Elephas maximus indicus: one gene and its partners. The protein of the gene in region 3 purifies or fractionates together with the protein of the main gene of each other region. This does not show direct contact. Links are inferred from orthologs where the notes say so. Each region holds a gene or a part of one and is shown on either strand. Other genes may lie near its edges. The genes, in order: SP1, FBXW11, NFKB1 and IKBKG.

The links.
Region 1: the proteins of NFKB1 (region 3) and SP1 purify together in Homo sapiens (affinity purification with western blotting, with the first as the bait; 3 studies listed by BioGRID). This does not show direct contact. The link is inferred for Elephas maximus indicus from reciprocal best matches to the Homo sapiens genes NFKB1 and SP1.
Region 2: the proteins of NFKB1 (region 3) and FBXW11 purify together in Homo sapiens (affinity purification with mass spectrometry; 7 studies listed by BioGRID and IntAct, counting the BioPlex papers as one, with this or other methods). This does not show direct contact. The link is inferred for Elephas maximus indicus from reciprocal best matches to the Homo sapiens genes NFKB1 and FBXW11.
Region 4: the proteins of NFKB1 (region 3) and IKBKG purify together in Homo sapiens (affinity purification with mass spectrometry; 4 studies listed by BioGRID and IntAct, with this or other methods). This does not show direct contact. The link is inferred for Elephas maximus indicus from reciprocal best matches to the Homo sapiens genes NFKB1 and IKBKG.

The regions. Positions count from the first base shown.
Region 1 is NC_064822.1:108,873,501-108,881,432, reverse strand, and holds the start of SP1 (transcription factor Sp1), read right to left. Parts: upstream 3,008-7,932; 5' UTR 2,924-3,007; coding exon 2,917-2,923; intron 1,877-2,916; coding exon 1,722-1,876; intron 1,396-1,721; coding exon 1-1,395. UniProt on the Homo sapiens protein: Transcription factor that can activate or repress transcription in response to physiological and pathological stimuli.
Region 2 is NC_064820.1:190,963,544-190,970,978, forward strand, and holds the start of FBXW11 (F-box/WD repeat-containing protein 11), read right to left. Parts: upstream 3,018-7,435; 5' UTR 2,834-3,017; coding exon 2,789-2,833; intron 2,783-2,788; exon of another isoform or gene 1-2,782.
Region 3 is NC_064823.1:50,252,795-50,259,690, forward strand, and holds the start of NFKB1 (nuclear factor NF-kappa-B p105 subunit), read right to left. Parts: upstream 3,006-6,896; 5' UTR 2,921-3,005; intron 1-2,920.
Region 4 is NC_064846.1:1,893,294-1,900,890, forward strand, and holds the start of IKBKG (NF-kappa-B essential modulator), read right to left. Parts: upstream 3,009-7,597; 5' UTR 2,844-3,008; intron 1-2,843. Other genes in the region: G6PD (glucose-6-phosphate 1-dehydrogenase), read left to right, coding at 3,429-3,588, 4,440-4,567. UniProt on the Homo sapiens protein: Regulatory subunit of the IKK core complex which phosphorylates inhibitors of NF-kappa-B thus leading to the dissociation of the inhibitor/NF-kappa-B complex and ultimately the degradation of the inhibitor.

The DNA of each region.
Region 1 (7,932 bases), on a different chromosome or scaffold from region 3:
AGCATTCACAGTGACTGTGCCAGCAGGGATGGAGGCAGCTGAGGCAATGGGTGTAAGGGTGGTGTTGCTGCTGCTTGTCTGCCCCAAGGAAACACCCTGCATTGGAGCCAAGGTGATTGTCTGGGCCTGTGGGTTCTGAACTTGGAGGTTCTGCAGCTGAAGAGTCTGCCAACTGACCTGTCCATTGGGCCCCACCGTTGGTGTCCGGATGATGATAGGGCCAGAGTTTGGAACAGCCTGAAGCTGGAGGTTCTGGAGGGTTTCCTGGGAGATAGCTTGAGTTGTAAAGGTCTGCCCTGACAGTGGTGCTGCTTGAAGGGCCTGAAGGGCCTGTCCCCCTTGAACTAGCTGAGGCTGAATAAGAATCTGTTGTTGCTGTGTCTGCTGGTTTTGCTCTCCCTCTTTTTGCTGACTTGTTTGCAGTGAGCCTCCAGATGTCTGGTTCTGCTGGATGTTCAGAGCATCAGACCCCTGTAGCCCACTGACCCTCTGGGGTGTCTGGCCTTGAGAGTTGGTCCCTGCTGATCCGCTGGTGGTAAAGTTCATAATTCCCATGTTGCTGGTGGTAGTAGTTGTTGAGTAGCTATTGGCATTGGTGAAAAAGGAGCTGGAACTGGCTTGTGATACCAGACTAGCAGAACTGATGGCAGTCCCTGAGGTGACAGGCTGTGAGCCACTCTCCTGGGACCCAGAGCTGCTGATCGTGACTGCCTGAGAGCTGGGAGTCAAGGTAGCTGCAGAAACGCTGTTGACAGGTAGCAAGGTGATGTTCCCATTCAGGGCCACTGGTACATTGGTCACATACTGAGTCTGTCCTGAGAGCACATTATTAGCCAGGCCTTGCAGGGGGACAGCCTGCTGGAGCAGGTTTGGCATAGCAGCAATGATGTTGCCTCCACTTCCTCGATTTGTGATAATCTGTTGGTTTGCACCTGGTATGATCTGAATTTGACCAGAACCATCCTGCTGCACTTGGGCCCCAGTGGCTGCAAATTGCAGCTGCTGCCCATCAACGGTCTGGAACTGTGGGATTACTTGATACTGAATATTGGGCATCACCCCAGGCAGTCCTGTTAGGACTTGCTGGTTCTGCAAATTGGGGGCCGCAGCCACAACATACTGCCCACCAGAAACCGTGCGATTCTTGGAAGACTCACTGCCATTGCCGCCATTAGTGCTGCTGCCACTCTGCTCCTTTGAGGTAGGGGTAGCCCCAGAGGAGGAAGAGATAATCTGCCAGCCATTGGCACCCTGTGAGAGTTGTGTGGCTGCAAGGTCCAGCTCACCTGTGCCCCCTGACTGGCTTGGGCCCTGGGAATTGTTGCTGTTTTCATTGGGTGACTCAATTCTGCTGCAAGTTGCTGCTAAAAGAGCCAAAGGGGATGGCTGGGACTCCTGGTCAGAAAACAAGGAAGAGAAAAGGAGTTATTGACACCCAGCTGCCAGCCTAGGAGGACAGTGCACAACAAATAAAGAACAAAATAGTGCAGACAAATAACGACTAAAAACCAGAAACAAAAAAACCAATCTATCTGTATTGCTGCAATTTCCATCTCTGGGGATCTCCAAGTCATTTCTCTCTCTCTATACTTACTTCCTCTATCTGTAAAACTGTTTAGTCCTTTCCTAAAATTTTTTGTGTGAGTAGTTAAAACAATTATCTAGGAGTATTTACATGCTCTCAACATATTCCCCACACTTTATCTCTAATCATCACTTACCTGACCTCCTCCTCCTCCACTGCTGCTACTGCCTGTGCTGCTGCTGCGAGCCTGAGAAAAGGCACCACCACCATTACCACTGCCCCCATTATTGCCACCAACTCCTTTTTCAATCTTCACCACTGTTGTCATTTCATCCATGGAGTGATCTTGTTCTAGAATGAAATAAAAATAAACAACATAAAATTGGGGAGAAAAAAAGGGTAAAAGAACATTATGATGAAACAGAAATGACTAATAGGAAGGTAAAAGGTGCCTGTTGAAAGAAAATGGATTAGGGGGGAGCAGTTGTAGGACAATATGACGTGAACCAGGCTCTATGGTGCCAGAACTGGGCCTCAATTTTCCTTTGTACAAAATTAAACTCAGAAAACATTCAAAAAATGCTTTTGGGATAGGAAATGTGAGGGACTGTGGGTATGTTGAAAGAGTTTTAAAATAAAAAACATGCCAGGGGAAAAAAGGGAGAAGGCCAGGTAAGGCAAAAAACAACATGTGGGTGGATGGAAAGCTTGCTAAAATTAGTGTTAAAGGACACGGAAAAAGAAAAAAATACAAACATAGAAAGTAACAAGAGAACAGAAAAGGGAAAGATAAATGATGAAAAATGTGAGTGGAGACACATTAGTAAATACAGGTAAGGAGCTAAAGGGGTCTTGGGATTAGAAATCAGGTTTCGGGGCGGGGAGAAGGCGGGCCCTAGGGAGAAAGGGCGGTTTCGGGGTGAGGGGCGTGGAAAGGGCGGGACGATGGGGGGGAGGGGAAAATACAGAAAAAGGGGGGGGGGAGGGCCTTGGGGCAGGCGGCGACCAGAGGGCGGGCCAGAGAGGCGGTTGGCCCGGGCGGGGCCTGCACGGCTTGGGCCGCCCCCGCGGCTCCAGCCCCCGGCGGGAGGAGCCTCAGGCGGGCAGTCGAGTAGTGGGGGGTAAGGCCCGTCCCCCGTGGCCGGGGCGGGCAGGGGGCGGGCGAGGCCACGCTGCCCCCTCCCCCGGGGCGGGCGGCCCATCCCCCTCCTCCTCCGAGGCCCCGCCACTGCCCCTTCTCCCTCCCTTCCCTCCGCCCCGGGCGGGACCAAGGCCGCCGCCGCCGCCGCCTCCCGCCCGCCCCCCCTCACGGCGGGGACCGCCCGGTCGGCCCTCGCGCGCGCCCCCTCACTCCCCTCCCACCCCTAAGCTTGGAGTGGACTCATCCTTACCGCTCATGGTGGCAGCTGAGGGACGAGCTCAAGGGGGTCCTGTCCGGGGGGGTTGGGGGGGGCCGGGAAAAACGCGGACGCTGACGAGGCAAGCGAACCCGGACCGGACGGGGAGGGGGGGGGTAAGGAGGAGGGAGCAGCGCGCCACAAGCTCGGCCTAGGCCCCGCCCCTTCACTGCTGCCCCGCCCAATGAAGGAGGGGGAAAGGCGGGACTTGTAGAAGAAAGGCGGGCAGGGTATCCAATAGCACGACTCAATTGCTCTCTAGGGCGTGTAAGACAGAAGTGCGTGCCTGGTATCCGCCCCAAAATGCCGCCCTCTCAGTTTTAAAAACCAGTGAAAGATGCAGGAAGTGAAAATGGGCGGGAGCTGGAGATGATAGGCTTGGAGGGAAGCCAGTCAACTGCCAGGCGGGCTCCTTGAGCGGTAGCGATAGGGAGAGTTTTGATAAGAGTGACAGAACAACGACCAACCAGAATTCTGGACATGCCTGGGCAAAGTCCTTGTGGGAGGAGAGGCCGGAACGGGAGAGGATGAAGTTGATCAACACCAATCAGAATTCAGGCGGGCAGCCAGAAAAGTCATGATTGGATAGACACTGAAAAGAGACAGATCAGGACTCATATTGACGTGACTAAAACCCTATTATCCGCCGAATGAACTCTGGGGGCGGGAACCTGGAGGGGGCAGAGCAGAGTTGGCGTCTACCTCAATCGCTCGGCCCAATGAAGGGGCGCAGTAGGCCAGGGACCGCCCCCAAGTTGGCCAATGGGCGTTACTAGAGCCGCCCATCATGGGGAAGGGAACAGGGCTGTGCCAAGAGGAGTTCGTCGCCATATTGGCCCTCCTTAGGGGACGTCTTTTACAGTGATTAGATGGTACACTTAAGCAGTACCCTGTAGCTCCACAGGTGTCAGGGCAAAGACCAAGAAGTCCCTTCAGCGCGCAGTTCTGCCCCACCACCCCGGCTCGTTTGAGTCCTCATTGAACCGCCCTTAGAAAGTACCTCTCACCCCTCCCGAGGCCGACGAATGCCTCTGAGTGTGGGTGTAAGCCCTGTGAGTGTAGGCGAGGTGAGATCTGGCGACAGCACTGTCAAAATCAGTTAATACGGAGCTGACCAATTTACAAGGTTTTTGTGAGACTCTAGCAAACACTATTAAGTTCCCGCAGAGAAAGCACAAGCTACTTGCAGCGGGTTAACTTTTCAAGAGTTTCTCTTTGGGGCTAAAGTGCATTGGAGAACCTCCCCAAGGTCCTAAACGGCTTCCTTTTTTAACCCCCTTAATTGTAAATACCGCGTAAGTGTAAAGCAAGATAGCCGAGTTCCTGTTTCTTGAGACGAAAGTTAAAGGACATGGTTTTGCCCGAGGCCCCTTAAGTTCTGGCCTCCATTTTGCCTCTTTATCCCTGTTTTAGTGGAGGACGACTGGGTGGCTTGTAAGTGACGTAATGAGGTCATTCTCTTTAGCACTTTTATCTTATCACTTCTTTATATATTTTCCTGTTTTAAAGTCTGAATTTCCCCTAAAAGATTTTAAGCCCTTTGAAAGCAGGAACTTAGGCTCTGGTCCTTTGGGCAAGGCTTGGAAGCGATGAAGTGATTGTTGAATGCCTACTGTGTTAGGTGCCAAAGTGGATTAGGTGCTTTGCGTACCTTTTGTCATCTTAATAAGAACGATATTATTAAGTAGTGTTAATATTATTTTATAAGTGAAGAAACTTAAGCTGAAAAGTTAAATAATTTGCCCAAGGTCACAAAGCTTTTAAGTTGAGCCAGATTCCAGACCAGAACAGTTCCGCAAAAAAAAGTCTACAAATTGTTAAGTGAATAAAACAATGCCTTATATAACCATTTGTATAAGGACATTCTCCAATTTTTGTTGTTGTTTTTGAAGAAAACTGCTTTTGCATTGTTACTTTCTATCTCCTGAGAAAAACCTACCTATACACTTTTTTTTTTTATACACTCAGGGCAGCTGAAATGGCATCATCTTGTACACCTTTATTACAAACTTTATCACTTAACCAACATCAAAGTTTCTCAAAATGTAATATCAGTCTGTAACAATCATCTGGGGTGCTTTTTTAAGAAGCAGATTCCTAGGCCTCACCCCAGACCTAGTAAATCAGATTCTCTGTAGTGGAGTATGGGATGAGGTTTAAGAATATGCATTTTTATGCCGTTTTTTCAAGTGATTAGTTCCTAATCCAGAGTTGGAGAAACACTAAGGGAAGAACTGCATTACTCATCTTGGTAAACTAAACACAGGAGATTCTAACAGCTGTTCAGTATAGTCAGCAAAAGACCACACCTAAATTTACTGGGGAAGGGGAAAGGAACTATTTTTAGCACACTCTCTAAACACTTCAAATATATTGTCTAACTTAATCCTTTTAACTGATAATAAGAGACGCCATACCCTTTTACAGATGAGAAGAGAGAGGCTCAGACACTTAAATTATGGCCTGTTGTTTTAGCTCCAAAGCCTGTGGGTTTTTTTGTTGTTTTTCCCATAGTTCTTATAAGCTAGTCTATGCCTGAAATGGAAACTAGGGTTTGGTTTTATTCCCAGGTACTGAGAAAAAGATCTACATTTAGACTCAAATTCAGTAGCCATCCTCCCTTTCACAATTCTTTCCCTTTGCTCTTCCTAGGACTGGATAGAATTCAGCACCTGACCAATGAGGAATGTCTTTGACATATCCTTGCTTATTGATAGTCTCTGAGAGCAAATGAACCATGATCCATCTTGTCCAATTCTCCTGCAAAAACTGTAGCAAAAAAAAATTTCTTTAGACCAAACCAAAAAAATTTGTTTTTAATGCATAAACTTATTTCAGGTCTTCTCAAAATCCTTCCAGTGTCTGTCTACAAAACCATTTGCAAGATCATTTAAATAACTCCGAAGGACTTTCTTTAAAGAGCAATGTGATTCCTATGAACTTGAATTGTGCCTGGCTGTGATGTAGTAAGCCTCACACATACTAAGTGCTAACACAGCAGCATGGCATTGAAGTCTCTTAGTGGTCAGCCCTTCACTTATTCAGGCTCATTATCCATTACTGTCCACTGTACTCTCTTACCCTTCACTTTGTTCTTGTTGAAATTTCCCCCAAAAGCCATGCTTTCTGGGATCTTCAAAGTCTGGACTTTTATAAGTACAGTCCACTCAGCCCGTCTTCCTTCTGGGCTACCAGACAAACTCTTATTCGTATCTTTGATAAGTACAACTTCTCTGAAGTCTTCCCTACCACTCCCAGGTATTGAATATTCTGTCCACTATATCTTTTTTACATACCTCCATTAAAAGTATCTAAGTATCCATTGTCCCCCAACTAGACTAGGCAACTTGAGGACAAAGATGATGTCTTTTCATTTTGTATTCTCAAGATAGAGCATATAGTTGACACCCAGTAAACACTGTTAAATGAAAGGAGAGGCCTAGTAGTGACCATCCTGAATAGGTCTCGAGACACACAATGGAATAAATCATTCTTCCTGATTCTGAAGCCACTCTTCAGCTTTGATCAATTTCCCAGTTATGGATCTGGTAATTATCTGATAATTGGGAACATTTTATAAATTAAAATATACAGATGATCAAAACCCTCCTTTTATACCATCATTATAACCTTGCCTTTCAGCAAACTTTCAACTAAAGCTAAGAAGAAAAAAAATAGTGACTTAAGATAATAATGTCTAAACAGTCTTCTAACCTTTACTTTCTAGCTCTCTGTAACAAGAAAACAAGCCTAAGTTTTTTTCTCATCAGTCTGTAATTAGTAGGCTAATACCGTTTGCAGTGCAATGGTGACTGTAGAGGCTGGATGGGTCATCACACACATCCCTCAGCCTTTTAAAGGCCCTGGAAAGGCAAGAGCCTAATCCAGAAAAGAACTGTAACAAGGCAGGCTTTTTTTGTTTGGGAAGTCCAAAACCTGGCTACAGATATTATTATTACTATTTAAAACAACTCATCCTGTACCCTTTCTGTGCCTTTGTTTCCTTATGTGAGAAGCATTGTGATTCATGCCTGCCTAAACTGTACTAGGAAGGCATTCATTCAGTCCATGGCTGTGATGATCCTGAAGGCCCAGGAGGAGGAAGAAAGGGGGGGCAGGAGCAGGGCCGGATGTGTTTTTCTGTGACAGTTGGGAGAAACAGTCAAGAAAACAATTTAGTTTTTGTTGGAGCTGAACTCTGGCCCAGCCTTCCTGAGTATTCTCTTCTGAAGGATACTCTTAAGATCTGAAGAGGTCTGCAAGAAAACAGCCCAGACTGTAAACCTAGCTGATAGTTTCTGACCCTTGAAGAGTCTTTGCCAAATAAAGGTGGTTTGAGGTCTAGTGGAGAAGAGGAAGAGAAATTCCTGAGCCTGCAAATTCCCAAATCCTTCAGAATTGAGAGCTAGAGAAGACAGGCTCAGGGCACCCAGAGGGGTCAGAGACCAGCCTAGACCATAAACAGTGCAAACAGTGCTTTTCTGCACATTAAATCTGACCCCTAGGGGTTCCTGCTTGGAACAAACACAAAATCAAAACATTTCTCTCCCCCAAAATACTCAAACTCCTCAGGGAGCCAGAGCTCACCAGAGCTAGGAGCTGCAGCAAGAGCAAGACACGGAGAGAGGAAGCCAGTCCTTACTACCAATGTACCCTCCTCACAGACACACACACACACACACACTCCTCCCAGCCACCCTGCACCCCGAGGGCGACTGGAGTCCTGCCTGGCAATTCAGCATTAAAAAAATAAAATAAATTCTCTTTTAACCAAAAATGAAGCAGTTTCCTTTTCTCCTTCCTCTCCTGGGCCGAGTAGCCCTGAGACTCCACCAGAATCCAGGGTTGGGGAGAGAGCTACACCACTCCCAGTCTCCCATTCTCAGAAACGGAGAGTGTCCCCGACAGGGTCAACAGGTCTGGGAAAAAGACGTACCCTCTTCGGGCACCCACCGCAGAAGTTGAAGGAAGAAAAGAGAGCAAGCAAAGGGAGAGGCCAGGGGGCTGATC
Region 2 (7,435 bases), on a different chromosome or scaffold from region 3:
AAGCACACTATATTAGCCCATGCCTCACAAGGGGGTAGGAGTCACAATAGGGATTGTATTTTGAAGATTTAACTATTCTGCTATCACCGGTTTTATTTGCTAGTCAATTTATCAAAAGTGCAAAAAGAAAAATTATCAAAGAAAGTAGAGGGATGAAAATTTAGAAATGGAGGGACCCAAAAAGTCTGCTTTCTCTTTTTAATATAGCACATTCTGGGATGTCGAGTGGATGTTACCTTGTTAACCATTATATACTAAACTGGTACAGGCAGCGCAATCACAAATATTTGAGTATTGAAGATGACTCATAAAATCTAAAAATATTTCATGTTTTAGGCTTTCAAAATATCATCACTTTAACTCCTTCCCCTCCATCAATCATGTTATTTTGAGACCAATGTAAAAAATGTTTTTAACCTAGTTCTAGAAACTGTTACTAAAATGCAGTGAATACACAAAACCAGGTGCAATTAGATTTTAAGGCATTACCGTTCCTACATTTGACCCTGTGTTTACTCAGTCAGCAGCTAAACGTGCTATCTACTATACTAAAACACATACATGCATGTTCATGTGAAGGGTTGTTTAAGTATTAACTGATATCCCTTTCAGGGAATATCAAAATTCTTACATGAAAAGCCATTTTAAAACTGACCGTTACTACTATACTCTCTGTTAAATATTCTAAGAATTTCAGTTTATAGTGTCCTTGAAAGACTGGAATCTCTTTCCAGATCCGCGACAAGTACTATCATACAATATCAAAACTTTTTATCTTATGAATACGGAAGGGAGCCAATTTAGGACCAGGATTTTTTTTTTTTTTTTACCCTTGCACTCAAAGACAGTGAATTGGGTTTCACTGTATTTCTCCTAATCCCTTCGAAAATAAAGACATTTTAGTTATTTTTTAAGTGAATGGAAATGGAAGGAGCTCAGAATAGCCAATTTCAAAGAGGTACCAAGTTACAATTTTTCAATATGAAGTATTCCTCCAGTTGTAGGTACATGTATTGTATAAGCACATCCTTAAGCATACTACACATGTAATTTCAATTAAGATATTTTACCAAAATAATCTACCACAAAAGTTGCAGAATATCAAATTTTTGACTACAATAATTTGATAAATTATGCTGAAAAGGAAAAATCACTCAATAAGTGAAAATAAAAACTCACAATTGACAGTACCCCCTTTGAAAACAACCACACAAAAATCAGAAACTACCAGAGTTTGGTTTGTTTCTCTAGTTCTCAAGAATGTTGGGGAAGTCTAGTTGTGTGAATTATGCAAAGGACAGCAAATATTAAGTTGCCTCTGTATTTATGCTACTGTACTTCCATTTTTAAAACATGCATCTCAACTCCCCAGATACCATCATCCACAGAAACCAAGCGGCTATCTAACAGACTTTCAGTATCACCATTTATTATTTATAGCATTAAATGGGGGAAGTGGCTCTGATGTCACCGACCCTACCCAGTGGAATCACTGACTCAAAAAACATTTCCACACTGGAGAAAATCTGGCTAGGAAAACATTTTGCTAGGTTAAGTAGATTCTTTCACCTTTCCTCTCAACCCTGGAGTAAAAACTGTTACTGTGTGAGGAGAGATACAAAGAAACTGTCAAGGTTTCCACAGGAAAAAAAACACTGGGCATGTTCATCGCTGAGGCAAAGACTTCCTCCCCCCAACTCTCCAGAGCCGTTTGATTTCCCTAATGTTCAAATTAGTAGGTAATACCTGCCATGTTTTATTCCTTCCACCAAGTCATCCACCGTTTAGCAAATTCCTCACTTCTACTAGCCACTCTCTCATGGTCCTGTTTCTAAAAGGCCCTTCTGGCTCCAAGTCCTAAGGCGGAAGGGGGTTGAGTGTATCCCCGGGTCAGGCAGTCTGGCCTTGCTGCCCATGGTTTCTAACAGAAGAGTGATCATTTCCCCCAGGGGCCAAGGATTCTCTCTCTTCTCTTTTTTTTTTTTGAGAAGAAAGAACTGGCGGCAGTGATAAGGACGATGCCTCCTCCCTAATTTCACAAAGCAGCTCTATAAGCGTGAAGTTACGGTTTCCCTTTCCTGGGGGATGGAATCCAGGGTACCTGAGGCAGGGCTATGCAAACGTCCCTCTCCGCCGGTGAGGAAACCCTTTGTCCGAGCAGCCGGACACCACAGGGGCCCAGGAAAGAGGCCGCCCATCCGTCACAGCCTCAAACCCGAGAGCTCCTCACTCCCCAGCCCTGTAAGGCCTATCTGGGCACCCACACAGCCCCAGCTGGGGAACAGGGTGCTGAGGCCCCTCCTAGGGCGCGGAGGCCCCTCCTAGGGCGCGGAGGCCGCCGCGGCCCTGACCATCTCCTCTGTACCCCCTCCCACCTCACTCGGCCCGAGTGGGTCTTGCAAGCGCGGTGCGGGCCTGGGCCAGAGAAATAGAGGGGTGAAAAAAATGCCCTTCCAAGAAGAGAATGAGGTGCTAGAGCGAGCAGTGTGAGCTGAGGCCAGAGCATAAACGAGCGAGGGTCGCCCCAGAGATGGGCCCGGAGACGGGACGGGGCAGGGGAAGGGGAGAAATGAGGGGAATGGAGTGGGCCGGGCCAGGTCCGGCCTTAAATCTCGAGGGATCCAGAGCAGCCGCGCCGGGCCCGAGGCCAGGGGAGGCGGGAGGCCCAGGCTGGGGCCGAGGCGGCGGGGAAGGGCTAGGGCCGGCCTCGCGCCGTACGTTGAGGTGGGCAGGACCGCCCTGGAGCCGGACGGACGGAAGAACGGTCGGTCCAGCGGGCCGCACTCACCATGAGCTCGATGGTCTTGTCCTCAATTACCGAGTCGGGCTCCATGGCGGCCCCGGCGGCCCCGCCTCGCTCTCCCCGCGCAGCAGCGAACGGCCCCAGCGGAGGAGGCGACGGCGGAGGCGGCAGAAGCGCAGGCGGTTATCGCACCCACTCTAGCTGCCAGCCCGCCCGGGCCGCCGGCAGCTTCGCCCTCCCCCTCGGCGAACGCAGTACGCAGAGCGGGAACTACAGCTCCCAGCAGGCGCCGCGGCCCCCGCAAAGTGTTGTGGGAACGGGAAGCCAACGCCAGGCCAATCTCTCCTGGCAGCCCGAAGCTAAATTCTGGGCTGAAAGTAGCACTGGACTGTGCATGTGGGATGTACAGACCTGAAGAATTAAGGGATCACTCAGGGTTGGGCCTCGGGAGCGCCACGACTACATGTCCCAGAAACCCGTGCGCGCGGGCTCTTCTTCCGGCTAGTTTCTCCCGACTTCCTGACAGCCCAAGGCTGCCCAGACCCGGACGGAAACTCCGAGGCAACTCCTCACTTGCCAGAGATCCTGCGTGTGCGGCCAATTTCCGCACATGCGCGGTCGGTGGCCGCAGTGCCCACTCGACGCTTAGGTAGAGGCGCGGCCGGTACACGGATGTGTGGTGGTAGGGGCAGAAGTTGGAGACAGGTTGGTTCTCGGTTGCGTTAGGAGAGGATGGTCTTGGGGCTCAGTTATGGGAATGAACCAGTTTGCAAGAGACACTCGGGCAAGGGAGGGAGCTGTGAGAGGGTGGGCATCCCAGGAGTGAGGAGTTTGAAGATTTAGTTGGGGAAGAGGAAGTTAATGGAGATGTGCTGTGCTGCTGTCGATGTGCAGCCTGAATTAGGAGGAGCTGAGAAATGAAAGGGAACCTGTGTATATTGAGCCACTCTTACTCATTTATTCGTTCCAAAAATATTTGTTAAGCATTCAGGCACTGCTCTAGGCACTGGAATCAGCTCTGAACATGGCAGACGAGGCCCCTGTTTTCACTATGGAACTTAATTCTTAGTGAGAGGAAGACATATTAACCGGAAGAGTGATGGGTGCTAAAAAGGAACACAGCTAGAAACCTAGAGACTCCTAGTGGAATCTGCCTCCTACTGGGTGTGAACTTTATCAGGTCTGTCAATGCCCTTTAGCCACAGACCACCAGGAACACAAGTTGGGTGAGAGGGAGATAGCACACCATAGAAAACGGTGGGGCATCTCAGTAAGAACTGGGTTAGGTGATTGTTTAAAGAGGTGAGTGCTTTTCTCTGGATTGGTCGCTGTCAGGAAATGAGGGTAATTCTCTGGAGGGAGGGAAGGCCTAGACTGAGGCTAAAGTTGTAATTGGTAAGGAAGCAACAGTCCCTTAGCCAGGATGAGGGATATTTAGTCTTTTTTGTGGTTTGGACAGTGTTCATATTTTATCTGTGTTCAGACAAGATTGTGGAGTGAGTGGTCTTGTTTTTGTCTTGATTTATCATGGTCACAGAATGACCTTGTGTGAAGTTTACGTTCTGTGAAATTGTTTATGTTCAACAGAACACAGGGCCTAGCTGAGTAACATCATGGCCTGATCGTACCAGACCAACTTTCAAATGCCAGAGGCTGCTTTTCTCTTTCTCAAGTGTTTTTGCATTTCCTGCACCTGTAAAGTGAGGGGACCTAGGAATCTTACCATTTCCAGGGATAAAGTTATTGCAGTAATTTTTATGCATGTATATATATACAACAGTGGGCTTAAGCATAACAACGATTGTAAGGATGGCACAGGACCAGGCAATGTTTTGTTCTGTTGTACCTGGAGTCGGAACTGACTCAGCAGCACCTAACGACAACAACATATATGTGCTTAAAAAAAATAAAATAACTAAGCCCATTGCTGTCAAGTTGATTCCAACTCATAGTGACCCTATAGGACAGAGTAGAACTGTCCCATCGGGTTTCCAAGGAGCAGCTGGTAGATTCGAACTGCCAGCCTTTTGGTTAGCAGCCAAGCTCTTAACCATTGAGCCTCCAGGGTTCCATGCATGTATAAAATAATTTTTCATACAGGTAGGACACAGTGTAAGTTTCCTGCAGGCTGGAAGTTTCATAGTCCTTACCTGATGCATTCCACCAACAGAATTGAAAGAAAAGCAATAGGAAGAAAGATCACAGAAATAGAAAGTTATTGCCATTAACTTGCTGTATGAGTATCACCAGGCCCATTTCCCTCTCTGGGCCTTGGGAACTTTGTTAGTAAAACAGGGTTAGAATAACCTCTGTTTCTAGTACCTATTGTGGCTTAAAATAAAAACTAGCTGCCTTGGAGTTTGTTCTGACTCATGGTGACCCCATGTGTGTCAGAGTAGAACTGTGTTCCACAGGGTTTTCAATGGCTGATTTTTCAGAAGTAGATCACCAAAACTTTCTTCCAAGGTGTCTCTGGGTGGATCTGAATCGTCAGCCTTTCAGCAGTGGAGCACATTAACCGTTTGCACCACCCAGGGGCTCCTACTGGTTTAAAATAACTGTGGTTTATTATTTTTTACAATTGTGTGGGTCGACTGGGCAGTACTTTACATCACATGGTGTAAGCAGGTTACTCCTGTGACTGCATTGCATTCAGCTGTAAACTCATTCAAAATGACTTCTTATCCTCAAGGGCCTCTCTTTTCCACTTGTTTTTTTTTCCATTCGTTATCTATCCCAAGCTTCTTTATTGGATGGGGACTAGTATCCAAGAGGATGCAATGCCCAGTGAGCAAAGGCTACTCAAACTTGTTTGCACCCCACCTGCTAATGCCACACTGGCCAAAGAAAGTCATATGCCAAACCCCAGAGTCAGTGTAGAAAGGGGCTCTACAAAAGTATGAATACAGAGATGCATGGTTTGTTGGGGGTCCACCAATGTAACAACCAACCGAGTCCCCCAAGGCCCTGGTGCCTGCTGCAGGACCTAACCCCAAGGAGTAGAAGTCATGAGCTGAATAAAATTCTCTAATATGTTCGTTTTAGGAGCCCTGGTGGCACAGTGGTTAAAGTGCTTGGCTGCTCAGCAAAAAGTCAGCAGTTTGAACGTGGCAGCTCCTGCACGGGAGGAAGATACGGCAGTTTGCATCCGTAAATTTTACAGCCTTGGAAACCCTTAGGGGCAGTTCTGCTCTGTCCTATAGGGTTGCTGTTGAGTCAGAATCTACTCAGTGGCAGCCAGTTTTAATACGTTTGTTTATCCTACAGTCTTTATTGTTTCAAAATTTGACAGCATTTTAAAAATCTGAATTTCTAGCTTCTCAAAAAAATTAGAACATCTGACTGTTCGATCTGCATGGTAATCTGCAGGGACTAAGTAGCCACTACCTTATTCATATGAAGCACATACTTATCCTATAGTTTTCCACAGTCATCATCACTCCATGTTCTCTTATATCTGTAGGCTTCACTCATTTAAAGTTACATGCCTAACCCATACAGGTATTTGAATTTGGAACTATAAAGAGATAGCGTCCCTTTATGAAAAACATACCCCACCTTAAGAGGAAAAAATACTGATCTTATTTGTACAAACTCCAGGAACTCAGTTGGGGTAAAAGCGCATGCATGAGATAGATTCTTACCCAAGCTGTGTAAGAAGGAAGCTGAGCCAAGGCTTATCACCGTTTTCTCTTCTCACACTAGAACTTAGGTGCTCAGGTATTGTTATTGCTTCGTGCTTGATACCAGCTGGTGATTAGATTTGATGATAGACAAAGGCAGAAGACCTTGAGGCATGTTTTCCCCTACTTTTTCAGAATGCCCTGCAGTGGGATTTATAAGACATGCTAACAACAAAGTTGAACTGGTTCACAATCCCTTAACAGAAATCCTGGAAGCTAGAGATGTTTCAGAATTTTTTAGATTGTAAAAAGGCAGTGTGGAATATATACTATACCTATATAATGTAACATTCTCAGTGGGGGTCTAGGACAGTGCTCCATAATCACATATATTGATTTTTCTGCAGCAGAATATATATGTGTGTGTTATCAATTTACAGCTGCTCAGCTCCATATTCACTCTGCCTCATGCCTTGAGATACTGAGCTGGACCCTGTAAACATTTCTCCTCTGCCAGCTGACATAGTGTTAAGCTTTGTCAGTAGGGAGCCCTAAGGGACATGGCAGAATGAAGGGTCTTCTCTTCCTTGTTCCAGCATGGTTTCTGTTCCTTCTTGCCTCTGTGGTACACAGCGGTGAGTGGCCTGTGGAACCACACCCTCACCCCACCCCCTCACACACACAGGTGGCTGGGACATCCAGAGGGTGGCTTCCCAGTTAGTTCAGTAGCACCTAAGTGGGCAGTTTCCCGCTTGCCAGCCCTGACCTGTAGCACCTCAGCAAACTTTACCATTCAGTGGACCATAATCACACTCTCTCCACACTCTCAGCCTTGTGGTGGAGGCTGGACATGGGGGCTCTTCCAAGTTGTTCCTTCCCTGTATACTCTACCACAGCCCCAAAGGTAGTGGGTGTTCCCTATTACTGTTATTCTGTATTCTTTACCATTGTCTTTACCCCTTAGTACTTAATCCCGGTTACTAGTTAACAATTCTTTAGTTAAATTTTCCCTGTTCAAATTAATGGGGTAGTTTCTGGACCCTAACTGATACAATATGAATATTCACAC
Region 3 (6,896 bases):
ACTATGAACACTGTGAGTTCAGTATTTATGGGAAGTGCAAGAACGCAAATGAGAAATAATTCCCAGCAACAAGGGTAAATAGCTCCAGTGTGGTTTACTGGTCACCAAGAAGCAGTTGTCATTGAACTGAGAGAAAAGTCTGATCAGACGTAAACGTAGGAACAGGAACAAAACGTCTTACAGTCTCCTCCAGTCCTAAAATTCTATTCTTCCTTCTCCTCTTCCAACAATCAAAACATATAGGATTCATATTATAAACAGAAAACCAATCAACCAACCAAAAAAAAGACACCTTCCTATAAAAGGTAGGACAAATTAACCAGAAACTCTGTAAGACACTGATTTGTATACATTCATTCCTGTTAATGTGGTTCCTTTCCAGCTAGATCTGCAGACCAGGAGAGCATAACTTGAATCTTTACAGGCTAAACTACTCAGCAGTCCTAAGTACATTTCCCACTGGGCCCTCGCCAGTGCTCAGGCAGCACATTTACTCCTCATGAACTCTGAAGAAGAAAAAGATGGTATTTTTTTTATAGTGCTTTATCAAAAATCCATATGAGAACTTAGACATAATTTTTAACTTACTGTTTTAAAATGCCAACTACTGTTCTTATTTCTCCCAAGTTCAAACTAATTGAAGGTTATGAGTAACCACTTCCCCCCAGAAGCCAGAACTTTCACCTCTTCTGAACAGGGGAATACCTCTCATAAATTAGGTAAAACATTTAAGGCCTTGCTGACTGAATGATACTCCAAGATCCAAGTAGCCGCCAATTCCTTATCTGGACCTCCTTTCTACCACAATGAACAATCCCTGAAAGTCTAAGTAGTAACACACTTCATCATTATCTGGACGTTTGAAACCAGTAATAATAATTTAAAAAGCCGTACATAGATATTAACTTCTCAAACTACCTTCAATTTGTTCAAAGGAACAATGACAAGAGACATATGAGCTAGATGATTACTGAATTTAAAATCCTGCCTCATTTCAGACTAATTGAGCTTCCTGCAACTGCAATTCAGTCATCACAGATGATCTTGTTTAAGAGGTAAAAAGGAAGTGCAAAGATCAAAGTAGTGCTTACAAAGGGGAATGACTATTTTGTATGTATACTCCAGTATTTACTAACTGAGTTTGAACAACAGGGGCATTTATTCAGGCCAAGTGAGTGCAAACTGCAGAAAATACCAATAAATTGAAGTTTCAAAGCAAAGATAACAGCATTTCAAATTACCACCAAGTCCTAATAGGATTGTACTGTTTTCTTTAAAAAGTCTTTCAAACTTGTTAGAAGTGGTTTGCTACTCACAACAAGCAGTATTTAATTTCAGCATTAAATCTACATGTAATGAGTCTTCCTTTGTGTTCCAGTCTGTCCAGTAGGCTTTGGCCCAGGAAGACATTTTATCTGAACAAGCTCTGGAGGGCATTAGGAGTTGCAGGTATATCAACAAGGATGAATCATCTCAGGAGAGTCCCCATTTCCCTTATCATATATGTTCATTTCATTTTAGCAACTCAGTTACATGATAAATGTAAAATGCTACAGGAAACAAATTTCTTATTTCCTATCTCCCCAATCTCAGAAGCTCAAAAAAAATTTTTTTTTTTTTGCTTTAAGTTATTTACACGATTTCTATAGTGCATTAGATGGTAAAAGGATTCATCTCTAGAAAGCACAATATTAAAATCAGGAAAACAATATTCTTCAGCTAAGGTCTTTGTTTTAATCAAGTTTTCCTGTTAAAGTTTTAACCAACAATCACGTAAACTACTCAAGAATATTCAGTTGAAGAATTTTGCTAGAAAAATAATCACCGAACATCTAGATCCCAAGCTTTCGTGTTTATCAAAGATGACCAGTTGGTGGAAGAACATTTTTATGCCAAAGCCATTAAATGTTTTAGTAATCCATAATCGTTTTTCCGTTCATAAGCTTTATAACAAAATCTTTACGTTAAATATGGTTATTTCATAAGATACAATACTGAAAAACCCTACTTAACAAAGTCCATAAATAGGTCTGAAACCTTGCTAATCAAATCCTGTTGCATTAAGTCCTATTTAAGTTTCAGGATAGACCAATGAATCAGAGCAAACATCCTCATCTGGGTGTATTTTAAAGACCCCAGGAAAACTTGCATTTGGGATAAGCTTTATTTATAACATTTGTTTTAGAGATTATGCACGTGCCACTGTCCAAGTGTTCTACAAAATCAAGAGGCCTCAAAAGTGATCTAAGTAGGTAGTCTGTTTTCCCTCTCAAATGTCAGGCCCTTCTTATTTTTGAAAACTAACGTACAGGTTCTACAGTAGGTGAATATACTATATCCCGGTTGGGGTGTGTGCAGGGTATGTGAAATGGGGTTTCTTTCAGAAACAGAAGGAAGAGAAAGCCTCTCCTATACAATTCTGAGGAGTTAGGGAGGGTTTTCCAAGCCAAGACGACTGACATGCACTTCTGCTTTCATTTTATGGAAAGGCCCTTAGGTGAAATCTGGTTCAGCACTGCACCAACCACCTTCCCCAGTCTTCTCCGCGCCACAGTGCATCTCAACCCTCTCTCCACCACCCAAACGGGGGTGGGGGTGAGGATTAAATAAAAAGTTTGCAAAGAGTTCCCCTAAGGTTCCCGTTCCCAGCTGGAGTTCATGGAGGGGAAGGGAAAGGACGGCCCCAGCGGCTGCGGCCCTTCGGCCGATCGGCGCCTGCGATGTCCGGATGTCTTTTCCCCTCTCTCGCCAATCCCATGTGCTTCGCAACTACTGTCAACCTCTTCCTACGGTGTAGCCCAGCGGTTAGCGCAGGAATGAGGAAGTGCGAGCACGGCTGTAGAGGGTGCGGGGTGGGTTGGTGGCGGGACTCGGGCCACACGTTCCTAGCGTGGCCCCCACTGGCCCGAGTTTGGCTTACCGTGGTCGCGAGTCTGCGCTGGCCTCACTGCGCCTGTGGGCTCCCCGTCCGGGGCAGCGCGGGCCTGGGGGCTCGGGGACGAAGAGGCCGGAGTCGAAGCTGTCCGGGTGCGGGGCGGGTAGGAGCGGGAGGGCGCGCGGTCTCGCCGGGCCGGGCCAGTCAGCGCCGCGCCATGCCGCAGCGCGGGCGGAGGGAAGCGCAGGGCGCGCGGTGGCCGGGCCGCAGCGGCGCCGTCTTCCCAGCCGCGGCGGCTCCGGCCTGGGTGGCGAGGGGCTCTCGGAGCGGGGCGGGCGGCAGGGCGCAGGCCGTGGGCGGCGGCGGCGGCGGGAGCCCGACCGACTGGAAGGGCAGGGGAAGCTGTCAGCGCGTCGCCGGGCCGCTTCGGTGGCGAAACCTCCTCTTCCTGCCCCAGCTCGCTGGTGCACTTCTCTCTTGCTCTCTCTCTCGCTCACTCTCTCACTTCCTGGCTGGAAATTCCCACTGACGTCGAGAGAGAAGACAGACAGACGGACACACGCGCGCACGCGGCGGAGGCGGGAGGTGGGGTCGCCGCCGGGGGTGGGGGAAGCCCGCACTTCTGGGGGCCCCGCGCGCCCCCGGCCCGGCCTCGCTACCCTAATTCGGCTCCCGCCCTCCTGGGCCGCGTCGGGGCGCAGGACGAGGGGCGTGAGGGAGGCGGCCGGGACGCTGGGGCCCCATGCGGGGCTGCCACTTGCCGGTTGGGCGCTCCCGAGTGGGGACGCCCCCTAGAAGCGCCGGCGGGGCTGGATTGTCCCTGGAAGCAGGCGGTGCGGAGGCCGCGGAGGCGGAGGCTGTGCAGTTCTTAGAGTCGGACCATCATAGAGCCCCTCAGCGCAGGCCCGACCCGCTGGAGGGGATGGGTCGGCAAGGATCCAAGCATACCGTTTATAAAAATAAATCTCATCTGTGTGTTCCATTTAAGTATGTCTCAATTACACTCACGTCTCTTCAGATTTAAACTGGAATTTCAATATTATAATTGATTTGTTTCCAGTGAAGTATAAACATCTACTTTTAATTTTTTTTTTTTTTTTAGTGAGATCTTAAACCCCCTGGTTATATGGCAGTTATCCAGAACTTTCATCTACAGGGCATTGCTAGGCTTTTATAATAATTACTGTGGATAGACTATAGTGATGGTGGTAGCAATGGTTCCGGTCACAGCCCATAAATACATACTGATCTGGCAGGGAAATTTTCTGTTTTGTTTGTTTTTCTGAAGGGACCGCTACTAGAAACCACAGATGAGCCTGTCAGTGACCAGCATTCACTGGTCATTTGAGCTTCTTTACATGCCAGGCATTGTGCTAGGCACGGGCCTGGGGATGCCCTGGTGTGGATTAGCTCCCCAGATAAGACATCTTGAGCTGAAACAGATGTGTGTTTTAGAGCACCTTTAAAAAAAAAAATTTTTTTTTTCCCACTACTGAGTTCAGTGACAATTCTGCAAATTTACTTTTAAAATGTCAGGAATCAGGTAACAACCAGGCAGTGTTGCAAGATACTAGATTGCCCCTAGCAAGTTTCCGCTCTGCCTTGCAGGCCTGTTTCCCCCTGAAGCGTTTGGCAGAAGAGCAGAGGATCATTTGATTGGGATTAAACTGGTCTGAGGTGAGCCCCTGTGATCTTTGGATTGCTCAACAATTTACCTTTAAGCTACTTCTTTTAGCTTCTAGAGTGAATAGTTGGAATTCAGGGGATTCATAAGTCCCTGGGTGGTGCAAATGGTTAACTGAGCTCAAGCCGAAAGGTTGCAGGTTAGAATTCACCCAGAGATCCATCAGCCGTCCAAAAGCCTACAGGGCACAGTTCTACTCTGACACACATGGGGTCACCATGAGTTTGAATCGACTCCATGGCAACTTTTTTTTTTTAAAGGCTTAATGAATTTTTATAAATCCTGTGTTACTATTTACAGGATATTATTATAAATTTTGCCAATACTATATTTTAGTCAATTGATACATAGTTTGTGAAGTGATTTTTGCCACTGACATGCGTGCAAAGGTTGCAGACTCCCAGGAGACAATAAAGTGTTAGGAGAGTTGTATCTCTTCATGGGACAGGGGTGAGCTCGCACGCTTTTCTTTCAGCAGGGCTGGCAGCCTCATTGGAGAAATGATGGAGGGACAGGATTGTTACAAGTGTGAAGCCACTGTGACATTCTTGTGAACGAATATTAAAGGTGTTAATTGGTGAAAATGATTAAATTAGATTTTCAATTCTCAATGATCCCACAGAATGAACTTAAAATTGGGGGTGGAGGTATGAAGCAGACAAAACTGTAAAAGTTTCTAGTCTACTCTTTTCTAATCACCAGTTAACCTTTCTGTATTGCTACTTTGTTTCTCAAAATTCTGTCTAAACTGTCTTCATACTTGCTTCCATGAATGCTGCCTACAAATGCATTCACCCTAAAGTGTCAAGGGATATTTACATTTATCATTTATTTACAAAGGAAAAAAAAAAGCCTAAGTGCGGGATTTTAGGCATTGAGATTGTGGAAAAGGCCCGTCATGTTGTTTGTCACTAAAATATTTGGGACCACAAGAATTTCCCTTCTCACAAAACCCTGTTTGGAAATGTTGGTGTCTGGAGAATGCTGAGGTTGAGATCTGTATAGTGTATACATTGATAAAGAGGAATTGTATAGTGTGCAACGGAGACTCACAAATACAGAATCATAAACTCCATGGTCCATCTTGAGGATAGAACAGGAGCGAATTGTATTTCGATAAAGGGTGCATATGGTTTACTTTGGGTCATGGAGCCAACTCAACATGCTTAGGAACACCTGGGGCACAGTTCTTGGCTATAGGAGCAATGACAAAATGGAAAGATTCCACTAGCTTCAAAATCAGACTTGAGTTGGAGTCCTCGCTTTGCCTTGAATTACCTGTGTGACTTTGGCTGAGTAGTAGTTTGTCTATTACTTGTCTACAGGGTTGCTATGAGTCAGAATTGACTCGACGGCAACGGGTTTGGCTTTTGGTTTGGTATCTGAGTAATTACTTTGTCTGAGTTTCAGTTTCCTCACTGGTAAAATAAGCATGACATTATAGCCGTACCTCACAGAGTTCTAGAAAGGATTGAAGGGAGATGAAGGCCTGTACTACTATAAGCAGTTATTTGAAGGTGAAGGACTTGAAATTAATTTCCTCGTAATTTTAAGAGAAATAAACTTTTGCACCATTGACCACTAGGCCATACACTTATCTTTGTGGCATCTCTCCCTACTGATAGGGAAATATTTCATTTCATTACACCTCCATTAAAATGCTTGCTGTATTCTGTCTTGTGTTTGCACAGTTAATTGAGATCTTATAGAGAGAGTGCTCAATTAGTCTCTATAAGTGGTTACAAAAGAAGAAGATATAATCTCTGCTCCTCAAATAAAGCCAGAAAGAATGACTTCTTATGTAGCAACCGGGACAAAAGTGATTTTTACAATGGATTGTATCATCAAGAATAAACCTAATAGAAAAGGGCAAAGAAACCATCTTTCTTTTAAGATCACATGTAGAATACAGACTTTTATTCTCTTGACAATGAAAATGCAAAGAAATGGAGATATCAATAAATTTAACAGGAGAATATCATTGATGTTATAGACACTAGCATCTTTCTGTCAGTTTAAATGAATATTCACTACCGTTGCTACGGAGCCCTAGTGTCGAGGTGGTTAAGAGCTTGGCTGCTAACCAAAAGGTTGGCAGTTTGAATTCACCAGCCGTTCCTTGGAAACCCTATGGGAAGTCCTACTCTGTCCTGTAGGATTGACTGTCAGTCAGAATTGACTTGATGGCAATGGGTTTGGTTTTTGGTTTGGACAATTGCTATGGAATCGGTCTATGTTCAACAATATCAGGAGGTAGCTTGTGATCAAGAACCAATAGTATTGAAGGAAGAAGTCCAAGCTGCACTTCAGACACTGGTGAAAAAACAAGGAACCAGG
Region 4 (7,597 bases), on a different chromosome or scaffold from region 3:
GCCCCCATACAGTTTCCAAGGAGGGCCTGGTGGACTCAACCTGCTTTTTGGTTAGCAGTGGTAGCTCTTAACCACTAAGCCACCAGGATTTACTATCAAAAAACATTTTTTTTAAACCATTCAGAGCCTGGTGAGCGTTCCCTGGAGCTGGGGGCAGGGGGTGGGAGTGAGGAGCCCCCGGCATATGATCGGTGCTGAGGTATCAGAAAGTGAAAACTGAGCCTTCAGCCTGAGACAGTGGGGCAAAGAGCCAGCCTGAGCCGCTTGTATTCTCTTGTGGAGTGGAGGTAGGTCATGCAGGAGAGCAGCCCAAGCCCTTTGAAATCCTGCCCGGGAGGACTATGTGGAGGAGGAACTTCTAGATTCCTCCCTCTTCCTTGGAAACCCAGGTGGCATAGTGGTTAAGTGCTACAGCTGCTAACCATAAAGGTCTGTAGTTCAAATCCACCAGGCGCTCCTTGGAAACTCTATGGAAACCTCTACTCTGTCCTAGAGGGTCGCTATGAGTCAGAATCAATTCGACAGCAGTAGGTTTGGGGTTCCCCCCCGATTCTTTAACAGACCTTCCTCCCTTGGCTTCCAGAACCTCCCACTCCCCTGGTTCCCCTCCTGCCTCACTGGCTGCTCCTGCTCAGGCTCCTTTGCTGGATCCTCCTCTTTTCCCCATCCCTTCATGTTGGGGTGCCCCAGGGCTCTGTCCTGGGACCTCTTCTCTAGCTACATTCACTCCACTGAGAATTCCATCTAGTCTCACAGTTTTAAGCCCCATCACTGAACGCTGATGGCTCCCCAAATCAGAGATCTCCAGGCCAGACGGAATCTCTACCTGGATATCTAATAGTGCTCTCAACATTAACTGATCTAAAACTGCACCCCTGAGAGTTCCCAAAAGCCAGTTCCACCCGGCCTTCCCCGTTACCAGCTGATGGCAAATCCATTCTCCAGTTATCAAGACAGACACCCTGGAATCATTCTGGACTCCTTTCTTCCACATCTAATCCATCTGAACGTCCTATCAAATGCATCCCCAAATTCACTTGATGACACTAAGCAATTAATGTTAAGTTAGATGTGATAAGGATATCACAGTTAAGTTTGTTTTTTTTTAATAAATCCTTTCTTAGAAAAATGCAACCCAAATATTCACAAATGAAATTATACGATGCCTGAAATTTGCTTCAAAATAATGGGGGAACTCCTAGGAGTACACTCGAGAAATGAAAACACATGTCCACACGTGAATATTCACAGCAGCATTACTCACAACAGCCCCAAACTGGAAACCATCCCAATGCCATCAACAGATAAACGAATAAACAAAATCTTTTTTTTTTTTTTTTTTTTAGTACATCTGTATACCAAACCAAACCCAAACCCACTGCCATCAAGTCGATTCCAACTCACAGCAACGCTATAGGACAAAGTAGAACTGCCCCTTAGAGTTTCCGAGGAGCAGCTGGCGGATTCGAACTTTCAAACTGCCAACCTTTTGGTTAGCAGCTGAGCTTTTAACTACTGCACCGTCAGAGCTCCACATCCACATACGATGGAATATGATTTGGCCATAAACAGAACTAAAGTACTAACACATGTTTTGGCATGGATGAACCTTGAAAACATGCTGAGTGAAAGAAACCAATCACAAAAGAACACATACTGTATGACCCCATTTATATGAAATATTCAGAACAGGTAGATGCAGAAAATAGATTATAGTTACCAGCAGCTGGGAGGAGGCAGGTGAGGAATGAGGGATGATGGCTAAAGGGCACAGTTTCTTTTTGAGGTGATAAAAATGTTGTGAAATTAGGTAGTGGAGATAGTTGTACAATTTGGAATACACTAAAAGTCATTAAGTTGTGTACTTTAAAAGGGTGTTTGTTGTATGGTGCGTGAATTATATCTCATTAGGTGTTATTAACAGTAATAAAAATAATGGGAAAGGGTTGCGGAGGGTATAAACTACACAAGATTAACCACAATTGATAATTGTAGAGGCTGGAAGGTGGGTACATGGGATTTACTATACTATTTTCTCTACTTTTGTACATCTTTGGAATTGTCCATAATAAAATGCCCAAGGCACCATGGTCTCTCACCTGGATAACTGCAATAACCTAACAGGTCACCCTGCTCCTACCCTTGCCCCGCTAAGTCTGTTCTCCCAAACGCAGCAAAAACAGTCTAAAAGGTACTTCCGATCATGTTCCTCCTCTACTCAGAACCATGCCATGGCTCCCCACTGCCCTCGGTGTAAAAGCCAAAGTCCCTACATCAGCCTACAGGGCCCTGTCCCATCTGGTCCCTATTCCTTCTTCTCCAACTATTCCCTCCCTTGTTCACGCTGCCCCAGCTACACTGGCCTGCTCTGCCGTTCCTTGAACAAGCCAGGCACAACTCATTCATCCTCAGGTCGTAGGGATGGGATGAGGTTCGGCAGATACTAATTGTTTTTGCAAAGCGACCAAACTGAGCTATACAAGGTAAGACATTTAGCTGCTATATTTGAGGTGTTTTTAAATGACTTAACGCCCTCAAATGCATTCAAGTCTGATAGACAGAAGATATCTCTTAACTAAAAAAAAAATATCTCCTAAGTGGAAAGAGTCCTCTTCACACTAGTCAGACCCCGCGGCGGAGGGACAGGGTGCCAAAACAGTCCCGCTAGCCGCTGAAGTAGCCTGGATCCTGAATCCGCCTGCCTCGGCCGGTGCTCTAGAAGCGCGCGGCAGGAACCAGCCCGGGGCCCAAAAGGAGGGGGCAGTCCGGAAAACCCGGGGAGTCTAGGAGAGGCGGCGGAGCGCCCGCCGATGGTACCCTGTCTTCAGGGAAGAGGACCACACCTGTCAGCAGAGTCGGTCCGATGCGAAAAGGGCAGGGGCAGCGGGGCGCGAGCGCTCCTACAATCCCCAGCGCTCCAACAAAGTCCCGGCTCAGCGGTCGCCCTTCCCTTCTCCTGCAGCCGAAACCTGCACTTCCGGCTTCCTGTGTCGGAGCCGTGGGATACGGAAGTGAATCTGGCAAGCCCCCGTCCCGGTGAGTTCGAGAGCTGCACGGGCACCTCCCTCAAGGCCGAGGCCTGCACCGAGGAAAGCGCGAGTCCACCATCCTCGGTAGGTCCCGCGGACCACGAATCCAAACGATGAGAGCCACCTGCCCTTTTCCAAGACGTTGCAACCTCCACTTCCCTTCGCCTCCCGGGGCGATCGATCGCCCCGCCCCTATCGGGGGAGGAGCCAAGACGAGGCCAACCAATAGGGCCGGTTTGACCCGCGAGAGCAGGCGACCGGTCCGTGAGGGGGCGGGGCTTCAGAACCCCTGCCCCGAAGCCAGGGGGAGGAGCCAGAGGAGGCGTGGTTACACTGCCGGCGGAAGTCGAGCGTTCCGCGAGGGCTCATGGTCGCCTGGGGGCTGGCGGGAAAACCAGGATGTCAGGGCGGGGCTGGGCTGGGCTGGAGATGGGGACTCCGGTGAACGACGCGGAATTGCACCAGGCCGCGCGAAGCCTCACCCCTAGAGAGGCGGCCGGTGATGCGGAGCAGCCGCAACGGGGACGGGAGCCAGTCCACGGCCTGACGGCCGGCGCAGGTGCCTGAGGGGCGGAGTGAGAGCGGGGTGGAGGGGGGGGTTGGCTGGCGCGCGAGCTGGGCCGGGGATGCGCGCGCACCTGTCCTCTTCCCCCCACCCCCGCACCGTCGCCCCAGCCCGCCCCGCGCGGGAGGGGCCTGTCGAGGCCCCGCCCCGCGCGCCTCGCCTGAGGCCCATCAGCTCAGCTGAGGCCCCCGCCCCGCCGGTTAAATGGGCTCGCGGGGCGCAGCCCCCGGAAATGAGCGCGCACTCCCGGGCTGCGAGCGCTGCAGGCGACAGCGAGGCGGTACAGGTAACCGAGTCGGGCGGACCGAGAGAGCGGAAGGACGTGCTGCTCGCTACCTCAAGACGTCCTTTGGATTGGCGGTATTTGCTGTACTTGGTAGCGGATCGAGTGAGAGGGCCTTAACAGATCATAGTGTCCAATGCAACCCCCCTCTCATCGGGCCAGTGAGGACATTGAGACCCTGAGAAGGGGGGACTTGCCCGGGGTCGCCCAGGTTAGCAGCAGTAGAGCTGAAGCGGACTCCATCATCCGCTAAGTTTACCAGGATCCCGCGCATTGATGAGTTCCCGCCTGAGTGCAGGATTTTAGAGTGAAAGGGTCATGATCGTGTTGTGTGAGGTCCAGAATGTACTCCCTGAAAGAAGGCAGCCTGGGAGAGTATGGCTGGAGCCTGGGAAAGTATGGCCAGAGCCCAGAGCCAAGAGTTTCTAACCCAACCTGGCCGCCCCGGGCACGTTCACAGCCAGTGGTTTCAGTAACCAGGCGTCAGCCTGCTGAGAGCCTAGAGGCCCCCTTCCAGGTGCTTCTCCTCTGTGGGCTTGTCAACGAGCCTTTCTTTCCCCAGAGAACACCATGGCTGAGCAGGTGGCCCTGAGCCGGACCCAGGTGTGCGGGATCCTCCGGGAAGAGCTGTACCAGGGCGATGCCTTCCACCAGTCTGATACACACATATTCATCATCATGGGCGCCTCGGTGAGTCTCCCACAGCCACATCTCAGAAGCCAGACTTACTGTGTGACATTGCCCAAGGCATCGTCTGGCTCTGCACCTGACCTATCCCAACTAACTGTGCAGCGGCCACTCAGGCACTGCGAGGTTTCACTCTTATAACCGTGACCTGCCCAGGCACCACTGTCATCACAGCACTCCTTGCTGTACCGACACTTGGGAGGCATTTCTAAATCCATGCTCAGACCTTGAAAGTAGACCTGAAACTGGAAGGGCCTGAGGGACTTCCTCCCCCTCCACTGAGAAAACTGAGCCGCAGACAGGGGAAGCTATTCTTTCTGGGAGCATCTTTTTCAAACTTGTCGGTGACTTGATGAACATCACACAGTTAATTTGTTCCAGAGGAAAGATCTGAGGCCCAATCATCACCTCTTTCTACCACCTCATCATCCCTGGGGACAAACATTCAGCTTTGCTTTTCATACCATATCTTTTCCCCAACCGCTAAGGCCTGCTAAAGAGCTGTTCCTTGTCCCACCCCAAGTGTCTAGTTTGTGGAACTGCCATTTTGCTTTGATAGGGAAGGACAAAGAATCAATATAAAGGCAGAGGTATAGCACATGTAAGGAAGAGGTTGGGGGGCCGAGGGGGTGGTCCTAGTAAAGCTGTGGCCCCCGGACCACAGCCCCTATCCAGTGTGCTATATGCAGATAAGATCTGCCTTGCGTGAGATGTGCAGGGGCTTGCTAGACCTGCAGCCAGGGCTGCCTCTTGACTTAAACATGAGTGTGACCAAGAACCTGTTAGCATTCATATGGCCATCTTTGCCATTAACTGATTATGTAATCTTGAGCAAGAGTTCTACCCAAACTAGCTAGAGCCGTACAGAGTGGGCAGTGCTCTGCAACTCTCACACCACAGGCTGCCTTCCCCCTCGTGCTGGAGGCACTTGGCAGCTCTTTGTTCACAGAGAACAACTTGCCGCCACCCTTTACAGAGCCTGCTCTGTGCCTTTGTGTCTTTGGTCAGAAATTGGGAAGGAGAGCCGAAAATAACAAGAAGGCAAGCAAGCTAGAATGAGCTGTACTCTAGGAGAAGAGCCAGTACGAGAGAAAAGGGCTTTGCCCTCTGCCTCACCCAGAACCCCAAAACCTGAGAAAGGTGGGTGTTGTCCACCCCCACCCAGGCAAAGCACACGGTCCCCTTAGAGGAGTCATATCTGCATCAGCCACAAACCTTAACACCTAGTATCCTGGCTGTGAGGCCCTTAGTCCCTGAAACAGGCTCAAAGAGAAAATAATTCGGGATTTTTTTCTTCTCCTTTCCCCATCCCCACACTGGCCTGTTGCAAGGATACACCAACAGAGTTTGCCAGGTCCCACACAGATGGGTTAAGACTCATCTGTAGAGTCTTGGGTCTCATCATTGACAGCATCCAGATAGGCTGTGTGATCTGGGGCTTTAGACCTCAGCACATATCAATTGAGCGTTTCTGAATGAATGACAAGGGTCCACAGGCTCTGCCGAGCTGGTTTTATGGCTCTTTGCTGTCTTCGCCTGTGGCCAACCTGGGGTGGTGGTGGCTGTTGTTGTTAGGTGTCATCGAGTCGATTCCAACTCAGAGCAATCCTCTGTGACAGAGTCGAACTGCCCCATAGGGTTTTCTAAGCTGTAATCTTTATGGAAGCAGATTGCCAGATCTTCCCCCCGCCCAGTCGCTGGGTGGGTTCAAACCACCAGTGTTTCAGTTAGCAGCCAAGCACTTAACTATTGCACCACTAGGGCTCCTTAGCCTGGGGTTAGGCAACGCTATTCCAACGCAACCAGCAGGGTTCCCCTTTGCTCTCCTCTGCCCAGGGGCAACAGCCAGAGGTTCCAAAGCAGAGATGGGAAGTGCTGGCTTCGCAGCGTGGAGTGCAGGGCCAGGGGTCCTCCTAAGAGCCTGTGTTGTTTCTCTCCTGACTCTTCTCCTGCTTGAGGGGACTGGAGCAGGGTGGGCAGGTCCTCCCTTGGAGCAAGGACTAGAGGGAGCATTGTGGGGGCATCCACCCGGGGTGCTCTGATAGCACCTGGAACAGCTCCCATCCTGTGCTGCAGAGGTAGGCAGGGTGGTGCTTTGGGAAACTGCGTTCTCTGCTCACTCATTCAACAAGTAGCCGTCACCGGCCTCTGCTGTCCCTGGCCTTGTGCTAGGCATTGGGCAACACCAAGACCACAGCAGCCACAATCCCTGCCCTCATGGCCCTGTGCTTTATGGGAGGCTGGGGACGCAAGGTGAGTTCAGAGCAGTACCTGTGACAGGAGAAACAAACAGGGCTGGGAGGGGGCCAGAGGCCTTGAGAGGTGTGGTCAGGGTGGGCCCTGGGGAGGGGGAGGCACCTGATACTGAGGTCTGCAGCACGAGGCCCCAGGGGAACTTGCTGAGCAAAGGGAAGAGCAGAGGCAAAGCCCTGAGTCAGAGCAAACTGGATGTGACCTAGAAGCTGACAGGAGGCCAGTGGCTAGCGGGCCCAGAACCTGAGCAGGTCAGACCCATGTGGCCATGCTCTGCCCCTCCTGCCTCCTGCACCCACTTACCCAACCCAAACCCACACTGCAGCTTCTTCCTGGGGGCAGCCTGATTCTGCCTCACAGAGTTACAAAACGAGCTTTGAGCCCCTGTCTCCCTGCTATGTGGCCACTTCCCCTTTCTCAGGCCTTTCTTCCCACCCCCACCCCCACCCCTGACCCAGGAAGGGAGTAGAAGAGCTCACTTTCCCAGTGGCAGGGATCCCAGCCCAGAAAGCTCAAATGAAAGAAACCAGTTTCTCCTTATGGACCAGCGTGGGGGAAAGAACCTTGGACCTAGAAGGATGTATCTTCCTCCATCTGATAGGAGCTCCATGAGGCTGGCTAGTGGATCTTCTCCCACACGGACGGCATTGGGGCGGGGTGCCAAGGGAGTGAGAGAGAGCAGGACTGGGAATCTGCTCAGCAAAGTGGACTCACCATGGCATCCTCAGCAATCCCCTTGCTTCTCTGGGCCTTAGTTTCCCTACTTGAACCAGGAGGACA